3 linked regions of the Macaca fascicularis genome follow. The protein of the gene in region 2 interacts with the protein of the main gene of each other region in a pairwise test. Links are inferred from orthologs where the notes say so. Each region holds a gene or a part of one and is shown on either strand. Other genes may lie near its edges.

Region 1 (3,941 bases), on a different chromosome or scaffold from region 2:
CTTGAGCCCAGGAGTTTGAGACCAGCCTGGGTAACGTGGCGAGACCCCGTCTCTACAAAAAAACTAAAAACCACCACCACCACCAACAAAAAACCCCATTAATGCAGCCATGGAAGAAACGAGCACGTTGGAGTTCTGTAAAATTTCCCAAACCCCGCTTACACAGCCCCCAAATGATCAACGTGGTAGCAGAGTTACAGGGCTCTAGAGAGGCCGCCATCCCTCAAGTAGGTGAGGTGATCTGGCTTAACTTTTCTATTCTCTTTTAAGTCCTTTTGACAGATGCTCTGTTTTTGCTGGTTTGTTTTTCAACCCTAACATATAAACATATCTAAGAGATGACTGTACAGATCACAATAGGACCTCCTTCAAGGTTCTTTCAAACCTGGGTTCTTCAGCTGGGTTGGCAGGAAAGTCCATGAAGCCCTTGAGATGATCATGTACGTCATATGTGCATTTTTCTGAGCGGAGAGTCCACAGCTTCCATTATTCTCAAAGGAGTTCACGACTTGAAGAGTAACGTTCACTAGTTTAATTATCTTTTTTTTTTCTTTTTTATGAGACGGAGTTTCACTCTTGTTGCCCAGGCTGGAGTGCTGCGGCATGATCTCGGCTTACTGCAACCTCTACCTCCTGGGTTCAAGCAATTCTCCTGCCTCAGTCTCCCACATAGCTGGGGTTACAGGCATGCGTCACCACGCCCGGCTGATTTTTTGTATTTAGTAGAGACGGGGTTTCACCATGTTGGTCAGGTGGGTTTCAAACTCCTGACCTCAAGTGATCTACCTACCTCGGCCACCCAAAGTGCTAGGATTACAGGCATGAGCCACCATGCTCAGCCTAATTATCAAATTTTGAACACTGGACTTATACTTCAATTGTTACAGACACAACTTATTCAGACAGGAGGCTGAAGCACTTTCTAAAACAAGGCACACCTTACTTAGCAGGCCTGAGCCCTAAGCCAGGTAGAAGGCCCAGCAGGATAGATACATTCTTGTCTCAGGAAGTTCCACAGAGACAGAAAGAAAAACAGTCCCCAGAGATGTTGCCAAATGGCATGAAAAGCTGGCCAGGCCTGGGAACTGACTCACACACAGAGATGCAACAAGACAGTGTGAGGTGTCTCTGATCACATGATAAAAAGGTTCACACGGTTCTGTTTGTCTTCTGCCTCCCCCCAGATATCACAACTTTCTCAGACTGGGGAAAGGTAAGTGGGAAACAACTGGTCTAAGAAAAGAGAAGTGGTCGGGCACGGTGACTCATTCCTGTAATCCCAATACTTTTGGAGGCCAAGGAGGGCGGATCACGAGGTCAGGAGTTTGAGACCAGCCTGGCCAACATGGTGAACTCCTGTTTCTAGTAAAAATACAAAAAATTAGCTGGGTGTAGTGGCAACTGCCTGTAATCCCAGTTACCGGGGAGGCTGAGGCAGGATAATTGCTTGAACCCAGGAGGCGGTGAACTGAGTGAACTGAGATCGTGAACTGCAGTGAACTGAGATCGTGCCACTGCACTCCAGCCTGGGTGACAGAGCAAGCCTCCATCTCAAAAAAAAAAAGAGAAGTACCGCTCAGAGAAAAGAAGGAATTACCCATCAGACTCTGAGTAGGTAAGATAGAGGGAAAGTGAGCCTGCTGGGTCACTCTAGGCATTTTCCTCTGACTCATCATAACATTCCCAAGTCACAGGGCAACTGGATGCTGGCCTTAGCTGGGTACAGGGCTCTGACTCCACAATGTCTCCTTTGGGGACTCAGGTGCCTCCTAAGCTCCTTCTGCCTTCAAGAGGCAATTCAGGGTAGGCATAGTTCAACCCAGAGCTGGCTGGTCTGATTTTCAATACCCACGGAACAAAAGGAGAGAGAGGCCATTCAGGGCTTCTCTTGGCAGAGACTGGAGGAGAGACAGGATGCAATGAGCAAGGGGTGGGGAGGGTGGAGTGGAAAGAACCTTGAATTAGGAGACCTGTGCCTTCGGAGGAGACTCAAACCAACAGGCATTCAAGAGAGAGGCAAGGGAATGACTTTACGGATCCACACAGTGCCAGGAACTGTCAGACATCTGACAAACGTCATCTGTTTAATTTCACTCCTGGGACCTCAGTTTCTTACCTGGAACCTGAACAGTTCTGGAACATACTGGAAGCCTGTATGCTGGTGGTTAATCCTATTAACTTTGGAGTCAAGACTCCTTTCCTGGAATTCCATCTCTGTTACTTACAGAGTTGCAATCTCGAGCAAGTTACTTAACCTTTCTGCCCCCCACTTTCCCTACCTGTGAAACGTGGACAGTAGTAGATTGTACTGCACAGAATTTATTAAATAAGGTAGAAAAGCCGCAGAGCCTGACACGTAGTAACGTTGTAGACATCCAGTAAGTGACAATTATTTTTGTTTGGGGCTCCTCCCAGTTACTGAAGTCAAAACTCTGGGAACGGGTTCAAGAATCACCCCTAGGCCCCACCGGTCGCCCCATGCCAGGTCCCCAAGCAGACGTCCCACTCCCACCTCCCAGCTGATCACAACCTCCCGGGCCCTCCCCCACGGCCCACCCACCTTCCTCCAACCCCGCCCCCAGCCATTCCCCCCCCAACCATACTCCATCAATGCTCCCCCTTCAGGGGCTTATTCCCCACCGCCCATCGCCCACCCCCCACTTCCTCGACACCCGAACTTTGGTCCTCTAGGATCCTTCCGCAGTGTTTTCACCTCTCGGTGTTGTTGACGATCACTCCGCCGCCCTCCGAGTGATTCTTGTTGAGCGCCATAGTCTCTCCGACAGGGGTCCTGAGACTCAAAACGCAGTGAGCTTGCGCCCCTCTTCGCCCCGCCCCTAGTGGCGTCTTCTTATTAGAGTCAGCCAGTCACAGCTCGAGCGCGGAGGCTGGCCCAACCACCTGACCCGAACGTCACGTGGTAATAGTTTACTCCCTCCCCCCAGTTCCGCCTGCGTAACAAACAAGATGAAGACTACAATTCCCAGCAGGCAACGCTCCCGCAGCCTCGGCCTCTCCCTGTGCTGGAGGAAGGATGCATTCTGGAACTTGTAGTCTCCTGGCTCATAGGCCGAAATTGGCTCCACAATTTACATAACCAATCGGCTTGTGCCATCTCCACCCCGCCTCTTCAGCCGGACGGAAATAAACAGTTCGGCTGCTGTCAGGGGCGCGAGCCTGGGGACCCCGGCCGAGCGTTAAGGGAAGTCCCGCTGGCCGAATGCGACCTGGACATGGCGTGGGAGGGCCGAGCAGTCCCCTGGTGGATGGGCAGCCTTCGTTCACTCAGCAGACGTGTATGGGGCGCTTGTGTGACTCTGGGGCGTTTAGCTGAGCCCGAGACCCCGGCTCTTGGGGACGCGGTGGGCTGGCGGCGTCGGATCACCCAGCCACCCATCTCACCACCCCAAGCCCTGAGCCCGGGGGGCGGGGAGAGTCCCGCCTGGGGAGGGGAGGCTGTGTGCCCCGCCTGGCTCCCACCACTTTCGCAGGCCGGCCGGGCGCCCCTTGCAGCCTCCTCTCCGGCCTCGCGGTGGCGCCGATCCCTCCGGAGCGCCCAGCGGGGTCCCGGCCGGAAGACTGAAGGCTGAGTGAGACTGGGCACGGCGCGAGACTGGCAGCCTGATAACTAGGACTTACAAAATAAGACTGACTCATGCCAGCTCGTGACCCAGCCCTGGGCGTCCTCCACGGGGCAGCTGTCATTCCCTAACCGCCCCCCACCAAACCCCTGCACCTCCGAGCTGAATCCATGAGGCGGAGAGAGGGGGCTGCACTCCCCCACTTGGTGGTGCAGGGGTTAATCTTAAGGATTAATTCGTTAAGATTAATTAATCTTAAAGATTAACTCGTTAATCTTAAGGAATTAGAGTTTGCTTTTCAGTAGACAGCTGCTTTCCTGACCGTGGTGGTCAACCTCTAGATCCACCTGTTCGACTTCG
Region 2 (4,152 bases):
CTGACCCCCAAAACGTCCCAGCACCAAGTCTGGGGTTTCCCTGGATTGATAGCAGAAGGGGAACTGGATTCTGCCTGGTGAGGTTGGAGGGCAAGGAATGGGAAATGGGGCAGCGAAGTGGTAGGGGATTTGTGGGAATGGGGGTTAGAGTGGGATCTTGGGGGACCTCAGTTCCCTCTCAGGTTTCTGACTTTGATTCCTGGCAGATCCTGGGCCATGCCCTCTCCTAACCAGCCCTGCCCTGATCACACCAACCTCTGACTCCAGAGTCTCCTGTGGCTTAAACAAACGGGTTGCAACAGGGGCGGTGGTGGGGAGCAGCCCAGCCTGAGAAGTCGGCCTCCTGGGTGGTCCAGGGCTGGCAGTAGGGATGGTGCTGGATTAATTGGGGCCCTCTATCTGGGGGGGGGCCCTTCTGAGACCTCCCTCAGCCTCTCACCTTGCCTCCTCAGAGCCTGGGCTCACTTCTCTCTGCTGATGTCAAGCTCCCCCTAAGGAGAACCTTGCTTCTCTCTAACTCCCAATGAGCAAGTCAGTGGCGTCACATTCGGGTACCAGGGACTTTCCTGGATTGACAGCAGGGGCTGAACTGTATTCTGCCAGGGTGGGGGTTCCGGTGGGAGGGGTGTGGGTGGAAAGGCAGAGCGGAAGGAGATCTGGGTTGAGGTATAGGAGTGGTGGATAGGGGTGGGAATGGCAATGAAGTGGGGGTGGGTCATGAGAGTGGGGATTGCAGTGGACTCTTGGAGGCCCTCAGCCCTCCCTGAGATTCCTGACCTTGATGCCTGGCAGAGCCCAGATAGTGCCCTCTCCTAAGCATCCCTTCCATGGTCACACCACGCTCTGACTCCAGAGTCTCCTGTGGGGACCGGGTGTGGGGACAGGTGGTGGTGGGGTGGGAAGCTGGAGGCGGCGGCCTAGCCTGAGAAGTCAGCCTCCGCGATGGTCCAGGGCTGGGACCTTCTATCAGGGATAAGGGTGTCCTGAATCCTCCCTCAGAGTCTGACTGCCTGCTCACAAAGCCTGGGCCCCCTTCTGTCTGACAATCTCAAGCCGTTCTTCAGAACCAGAACCTCGCTTCCCTCTAATCCCCAATGCACAAGTCAGTGGCATCACATCCGGCCACCCAGGGCTTGCCTGGATTGAAAGCAGGGGTGTAACCAGATTCTGCACGGATGGGGATGAAGGTGGGGGGCATGAGGCTGGTGGGGGGTGTTGGGGAGCATAGGGGCACAGGTGGGGGATGGGGGTACAGATGGGGTTGGGAGTGCGGATGGGAATGGGAACAGGGTAGGGGATAGGAATGGGGTGGGGGACGCTCCACCCTCTCCTAGGGTCCTGATGTTGAAGGTTAGCAAAGCCTGTCCCCACCAGTCTTGCACTGATTACACCAAGCTCTGACTGAACAGTCCCCTGCGGCTTAAGCGGCAGTGGAGTGGTGGGCCCCAGACTCAGATGTCCGCCCACGAGTGACCCAGGGCTGAAAGCAGGAGTGGTGCTAGATTATTTGGGGTCATCCATCTGCAGTGGGGAGGGTCTCCCGAGTCCTCCCTCAGCTTCTCACCTTGCCACCTCAGAGAGCCTGGGCCGGCTTCCCTCTGCCAAGCCCAAGCTGCCTGTCAGACCAAGAAGCTAGCTTCTCTCTAACCCCCAATGCGCAAGTCACTGGCATCACATCCGGGCACCTGGGGCTTCCCTGGGTTGAAAGTGGAACTGGAACCCGATTCAGCCTGGATGGGAGTAGAGGTTTTGGGGTGGGGATATGAGGGCAGTGATTCAGCCTGGATAGGGGTAGAGGTTTGGGGGTGGGGATATCAGGGTGGTGGGAGTTTGGGGAGGATAGGAGTACTGGTGGGGAATGGGGGTGTAGATGGGGTTGGGAGTGTGGATGAAAATGGGAACGGGGTGGGGGACCCTCAGCCCTCTCTTACAGTCCTGAGGTTGACGCCTGGCAGAGCCTGCCCTCACCAGTCTTGCACAGATCCCCCCAAGCTCTGACTCGAGAGTCGCCTGTGACTTCAGAGGCAGTGGAGTGGCGGGTGACCCAGACTCAGAAGTCTGCCCACGGGTGGCCCAGGGCTGGCAGCAGGAATGGTGCGGGATTATTTGGGGTCGTTTATCTGGGGTGGGGGCCTCCTAAGTCCTCCCTCAGCATCTCACCTTCACTCCTCAAAGGGCCTGGCCCGCTTCCCTCCGCCAATCCCAAGCTCCCTGTCAGACAGAGAAGCTCGCTTCTCTCTGACCCCCAACGCGCAAGTCATTGGCTCACATCCGGGCACCTGGGGCGTCCTGGGGTTGAAAGCGGAAGCAGAACCCGATTCAGCGTGGATGGCAGTGGGAGGGATGAGGATGGTGGAGGGGGCAGGCTTTTTGGGGTGGGAGACGGCGGTATGAGGATGGTGGTGGATTGGGGAGGATGGATGGGGTGCTGCAGAGGGATGGGAGTGTGGATGGGTTTGGGAGTGCGAATGGGAATGGGAAAGGGAACAGCGTGAGGGATGGGAAGGGGGTGGGGGATAGGAATAGGGGTGGGATAAGCTCAGCCCTCTCTTATGGTCCTGAGGTTGATGCCCGGCAGAGCCTGCCCTAACCAGTCTTGCACTGATCACCCCAAGCTGTGACTCCAGAGTCCCCAGCGACTTCAGAGGCAGTGGCGTGGTGGGTGCCCCACACTCAGAAGTCCACCCACGGGTGGTCCAGGGCTGGCAGCAGGAGTGGTCCAGGATTATTTGGGGTCGCCTATCTGGGGTGGGGGCCTCCTGAGTCCTCCCTCAGCATCTCACCTTGACTCCTCACAGGGCCTGGCCCGCTTCCCCCCACCAGTCCCAAGGTACCGGTCAGACAAAGAAGCTTCTCTCTAACCCCCAATGCGCAAGTCAGTGGCATCACATCCGGGCACCTGGGACTTCCTTGGGTTGAAAGTGGAAGCGTGGATGGGAGTGGGAGGGGTGACGTTGGTGGAGGGAGCGGGTATTTTTGTGTGGGAGATGGTGGTATGAGGGTGGTGGGGGGTTGGGGAGGATAGGGTTGCTGGTGGGGGATGGGGGATGGAGGGTTGTGAATGGGAATGGAAACGGGGGGGGATGGGAATGGAGGTGGGGGATGGGAATAGGGGTGCGGTAAGCTCAGCCTTCTCTCATGCTCCTGAGGTTGATGCCCGGCAGAGCCTGCCTTCACTAGTCTTGCACTGATCACCCCAAGCTCTGACTCGAGTCCCCTGAAACTTCAGAGGCAGTGGGGTGGTGGGTGCCCCAGACTCAGAAGTCCGCCCATGGGTGGCCCAGGGCTGGCAGCAGGAGTGGTCTGGGACTATTTGGGGTCGTCTATCTCGGATGGGGACTCCTGAGTCCTCCCTCAGCATCTCATCTTCACTCCTCACAGGACCTGGCCCCCTTCCCTTGCCAATCCCAAAGTGCCGGTCAGAGAAGCTCGCTTCTCTCTAACCCCCAGTGTGCAAGTCAGTGGCCTCACATCCGGGCACCTGGGGCTTTCCTGGGTTAAAAGCAGAAGCGGAACCCGAATCAGCATGGATGGGGGAGGGAGGGGTGACGGTGGAGGGGGTGGGAATTTTGGGGTGGGAGACGGTGGTATGAAGGTGGTGGGGTGTTGGGGAATATACCTGGGCTAGTGGGGGATGGGATTGTGGATGGTTTTTAGGAGTTCGAATGCGAACAGGGTGGGGGTGGGAATGGGGGTGGGGAAGGGGAATAGGGTTGGGGGACATTCAGCCCTCTCTTTTGGTTGTGAGGTTGGTGCCTGGCCAACCTTTCCCCCGCCCATCTTGCATTGATCACACCATACTCTGATTCCAGAGTGCCCTTCGACTTCAGAGGCAGTGAGGTGGTGGGTGCCCCAGACTCAGAAGTCTGCCCACAGGTGGCCCAGGGCTGGCAACAGGAGTGGTCCGGGATTATCTGGGGTCGTCTATCTGGGGTGGGGGCCTCCTGAGTCCTCCCTCAGCGTCACACCTTGACTCCTCACAGGGCCTGGCCCGCTTCCCTCTGCCAATCCCAAGGTGCCAGTCACACAGAGCAGCTCACTTCTCTCTAACCCCCAATGCAAAAGTCAGTGGCATCACGTCCAGGCACCTGGGGCTTCCTTGGGTTGGAAATGGAAGCGGAGCCTGATTCAACGTGGATGGGGGTGGGAGGG
Region 3 (3,967 bases), on a different chromosome or scaffold from region 2:
AATTAAAAAGCACAGATGCTTACCCAGTTTATTGAATCCTGCAGCATTGTAATACCATTTTCGAATACCATCCAGCCACTTGCCTGATGCTGAAACTGATCATTGTCACACTGTTAGTTGCTACAATTATACTATATGAACACACTGATGGGCAAGCAACCAGTACTCAGTTATCTTGCTGATGAATGCAAACATAGAAAGAAATTTCCTTTTAAAAGTATATACTATATACAGCAAGAATTTAATCAAAAAAGAATTAGATTTAAAAGAAAAAAGTTTATAAACTGTTGATAAAAATTGCTTATTTTATTTATGAGCAAAAGTGGCTGCAGGAAAATGGTGGCAAGTCATGGAAGAAGAGGGTAAACTCAAACACTGAATGTACAAAAGATCCATAGGTACATCGTGTGCCCTTATGCCTGCCCTGTTACCTTCAGAAATGAAGGGGTGAGAGATAGGAAAAGGACTTGGAAATTTCTATCATTTGTAGTTTCATAAATAGATCACAGGAAATAATTGTAAACTTTTCATTTCAAAGGAGCTGGAGTTGTATGAAAAGAGAGTGAGATTTCAGCATAGGCTGGCAGGTCTAAATGACCCTCATCCTGTAAAAATTTTACTCGACATTACAGTTATTTCATTTGGCTACATTCTTTAAAAATATATGTATTTTGGGGAGGATTTTGATACCATTAGTCATTTAAACATTAATGTGGATTAGTAAAAGAAGTCCATTTACCTCCTCCTAAGCAACTAAGTTCCCCCCAAGGGAATAGGTATTGAAAACGGATGAGAAATGGGTAATTTTAAAATTCTTGCCGGGCGCGGTGGCTCAAGCCTGTAATCCCAGCACTTTGGGAGGCCGAGACGGGCGGATCACGAGTTCAGGAGATCGAGACCATCCTGGCTAACACAGTGAAACCCTGTCTCTACTAAAATACAAAAAAAATTAGCCGGGCGAGGTGGCGGGCGCCTGTAGTCCCAGCTACTCGGGAGGCTGAGGCAGGAGAATGGCGTGAACCCGGGAGGCGGGGCTTGCAGTGAGCTGAGATCCGGCCACTGCACTCCAGCCTGGGGGACAGAGCCAGACTCCGTCTCAAAAACAAACAAACAAACAAACAAAAAAAACAAAATAAAATTCTTTGGGGAACAGGGCTGAGTCTGATGAAGTAACCCAGCAGGGTCCAAGTACAGCAGGACCGTACCTGACATTTTAGGAGAGACGTTTTACAAAAGGGGAGGTAGAACAAGTTTACATTTTCTTTTAAAATTTTGTCTAGCGTTAGCCCCTTACCAAGGAAGGAAAGCAAACTCTCCTTTCACTCAGCCCTCCTTGCCTGCAAACTCAGTGCACTACAGATTACGTGGCTTCAGCACATCTCCTTGGAAATGAAGTCATGTATAAAACTGCTGCTAGAAAAACAAGTATCAGTCAACAATCTACAAACATACTTGTGGAAGACAGATTATTTTTAACCACCTATCAGTGACTAGAATAATATTCACTAAACACTTATTGTGCACCAAACACTTTCCTATTTGCTTTACCAACATTAGCTGATTTATTTACATGCCTCTTACTACAGCAAGGGAAGCAGACTTACAGAAGTGATCCCACCCAAGGTCAGTTAGCTAATGGGAGTTGAGATCTGGTCTATGTAGATCCCAAACACGCACAGAATCAGTGTCTTGAATTTAGTAAGACTCCTTCAATATCTGCTAAATTAATAAAATAATTATTTAAAAAGTCTCCCCCACCCCCAAAAAGCTCAATGTCAATTAGGTTAGCGGATGTTTCTGGCAACCTGATGTTTCCTAACAGCTTCACAATTGCTGGGGTCAGGGAGAAAAGGATCAATATTTTTTAAAAGCTACTCCAACTTGGTTGCATTGCAGTGAGACGAGATTGTGCCACTGCACTCCAGCCTGGGCGACAAAGCAAGACTCCTTCTCAAAAGAAAAAAAAAAAAAAAAAAAAAAAAGATACTCCAACTTGTACCGCCAGAGGGCAGAGATTAGCAAAAAAACAAAACAAAACAAAAAAACAAGGAAACCCAACTTAATGTTCAAGTTGTTTTAAATATTCCAGTAATATCTGCATTCTATTCCACAATAAATTTGTTTGAACCTACAATAAATTCAAATTTCTCCAAACCTACTGATCAAGCTGACGTTCTAGATAATCCAAGGTTAATGTGAAGCGTCGCTCGTATCCCTTGCTAGACTGTCTCTGATTCACAGTTTGAGAAGCGCGAGGGGTGCAATGAAATTTCCAATTCTACTTCCTTGGGTCACTTTGCCTCAGTTGTCTTATCAGCGTAAACGGGAAATTAGTATCTCCCTCGTGGCACTGGCAGGAGAATTTATAGGGCCAATGCACACGATAGAGCACCTGGGTCATAGAAGAAAGCACTGAGCTCATTCTGGTTGAAAGTCATCCACTAGTTATCTTCTTGTGACCTTTAACTTTTCTAAGGCCGAGGGGAAGGACTTCCGAGCACAGGCAGCTGGAACTCCAGGGCTGTTAGAGCCACCGCGGGCACCTTCACAAACAGCGGGTTAACACCCCAACCCTATATAGGCAAGCCCGGCCTGGGAACAACAAACGAGTGGGGAAGCACGTCCTTTTGGCTGGACTGAAGCCGCCACTTTCCCTTCCGCGACAAACTTGGTGACTTACAAAGAAGAGAGAAAACGGAGTGAGCTGCAGCGAAAATAAACGGTGGAGCGCGACGATGCCCGCCAAGAAGACTCCCCAGTCACTTACCCGCCTGCTTGCCAGCCATTTTGACCAGAAAATGAAACGTTGCCTTCTGGGTAAGTCATAGAGGACACGCTGGGCCCAGTCCGCAGGCGCGTTACGCCACAGCGCGAACCGAGAAACGCCGCTTGCGCAGGCGCAGTTCTGACGGCTGTCGTTGAGCTCTTGCGTGTGCACTTCTCGGCCAGGGTGAGGCCAATGGAGTAGGCGGGGCGTTTTGCGTGCTATATTCCAAGAAGTATTGGTTGTGATGTGATGGGAAGAACACAGGTCAGGAATTAGGAGACCGAGGCTTAAAGCTGGGTTCTGTTACTTGCTGTTAATAGCTATGAGAGCGTGGGCAGTATGAATTCAGCTCTTTGTGCCAGGCAGGAAGCTAAATGTTTTAAGGGCATCGTTTTATTTTGTATTGAAGGACTGATGGATGCGCCATCCCAAAAATATATGGAATTGGTACACTGATTATTTCGAGTTGAAAATGTTGGAGAAATTGTAGTTTCAGAAAGGGTTTGATGACCCATCTCTTCCTGCATGCAGCAAGCCGTAAAGTTTCCTCCAGGATTCCTCCGGAGTACCCGTCCCTTACCAGAGGGAGAAAATAGCACCCATCACCAGAGACTGGAAACTGGGAGCTGCTTTGGACCTGAATATACTTTCCGAAATAACCCTTATCTTCCACTAAGTTTACACCCCACCACACCCACGTTTCTCCTAATGACTCCGCAAGAAATTCACTGCCCCTAGCCAGATCCCGTTTCTTCTGATTTGTAGTTCGTGTAAAAAGTATAAAGGCATCTTACATTGGCCACTTCACTTTCTTGTGAGGATCCCCATGCACATGTAAAACTAGTAAAATTAGTATGCTTTTCTCTTGTTAATCTGCCTTGTGTCAATTTGGTTCCTAGATCCAACCAAAGAGCCCACATAAGAGCAAAGGCGTGATCTCTCACTCCCCTACACTGTCATTTAATTCTAAAAGTACTGTCATTATCTCATTGTAGATAGGAGAAAGCTGAAGCTCAGAAAGGTTGAATAACTTGTCCAAGAGGACATGACTAGAAGAGTCCAGGTTCTTCTTCCAGAATCTGAAAATCCAGACGCAAACTTAGGGCTCCTTAATTCTAGGGCCATATGCTACACTACTAATCCAGGAAAGACACCAAGCCTTTCAGGCCTTGGGTTTCTCCAGCTGAAGATCTACATCTA

What was found. The genes of interacting proteins can lie anywhere in the genome.
Region 1: the proteins of MAGEA4 (region 2) and WBP2 interact in a two-hybrid assay, tested with the Homo sapiens proteins (2 studies listed by BioGRID). The two-hybrid records come from large-scale screens. The link is inferred for Macaca fascicularis from reciprocal best matches to the Homo sapiens genes MAGEA4 and WBP2.
Region 3: the proteins of MAGEA4 (region 2) and UQCRB interact in binary tests that used the Homo sapiens proteins (3 or more experiments, as listed by UniProt). The two-hybrid records come from large-scale screens. The link is inferred for Macaca fascicularis from reciprocal best matches to the Homo sapiens genes MAGEA4 and UQCRB.

Annotation. Positions count from the first base shown.
Region 1 is NC_088390.1:82,265,275-82,269,215, forward strand, and holds the start of WBP2 (WW domain-binding protein 2), read right to left. Parts: upstream 2,801-3,941; 5' UTR 2,773-2,800; coding exon 2,714-2,772; intron 1-2,713. UniProt on the Homo sapiens protein: Acts as a transcriptional coactivator of estrogen and progesterone receptors (ESR1 and PGR) upon hormone activation. In presence of estrogen, binds to ESR1-responsive promoters. Synergizes with YAP1 to enhance PGR activity.
Region 2 is NC_088395.1:157,991,069-157,995,220, reverse strand, and holds the start of MAGEA4 (melanoma-associated antigen 4), read right to left. Parts: upstream 2,801-4,152; 5' UTR 2,784-2,800; intron 2,180-2,783; exon of another isoform or gene 2,161-2,179; intron 1-2,160. UniProt on the Homo sapiens protein: Regulates cell proliferation through the inhibition of cell cycle arrest at the G1 phase. Also negatively regulates p53-mediated apoptosis.
Region 3 is NC_088382.1:105,905,397-105,909,363, forward strand, and holds the start of UQCRB (cytochrome b-c1 complex subunit 7), read right to left. Parts: upstream 2,801-3,967; 5' UTR 2,787-2,800; coding exon 2,768-2,786; exon of another isoform or gene 2,681-2,767; intron 1,414-2,680; exon of another isoform or gene 1,295-1,413; intron 96-1,294; coding exon 24-95; intron 1-23. UniProt on the Homo sapiens protein: Component of the ubiquinol-cytochrome c oxidoreductase, a multisubunit transmembrane complex that is part of the mitochondrial electron transport chain which drives oxidative phosphorylation.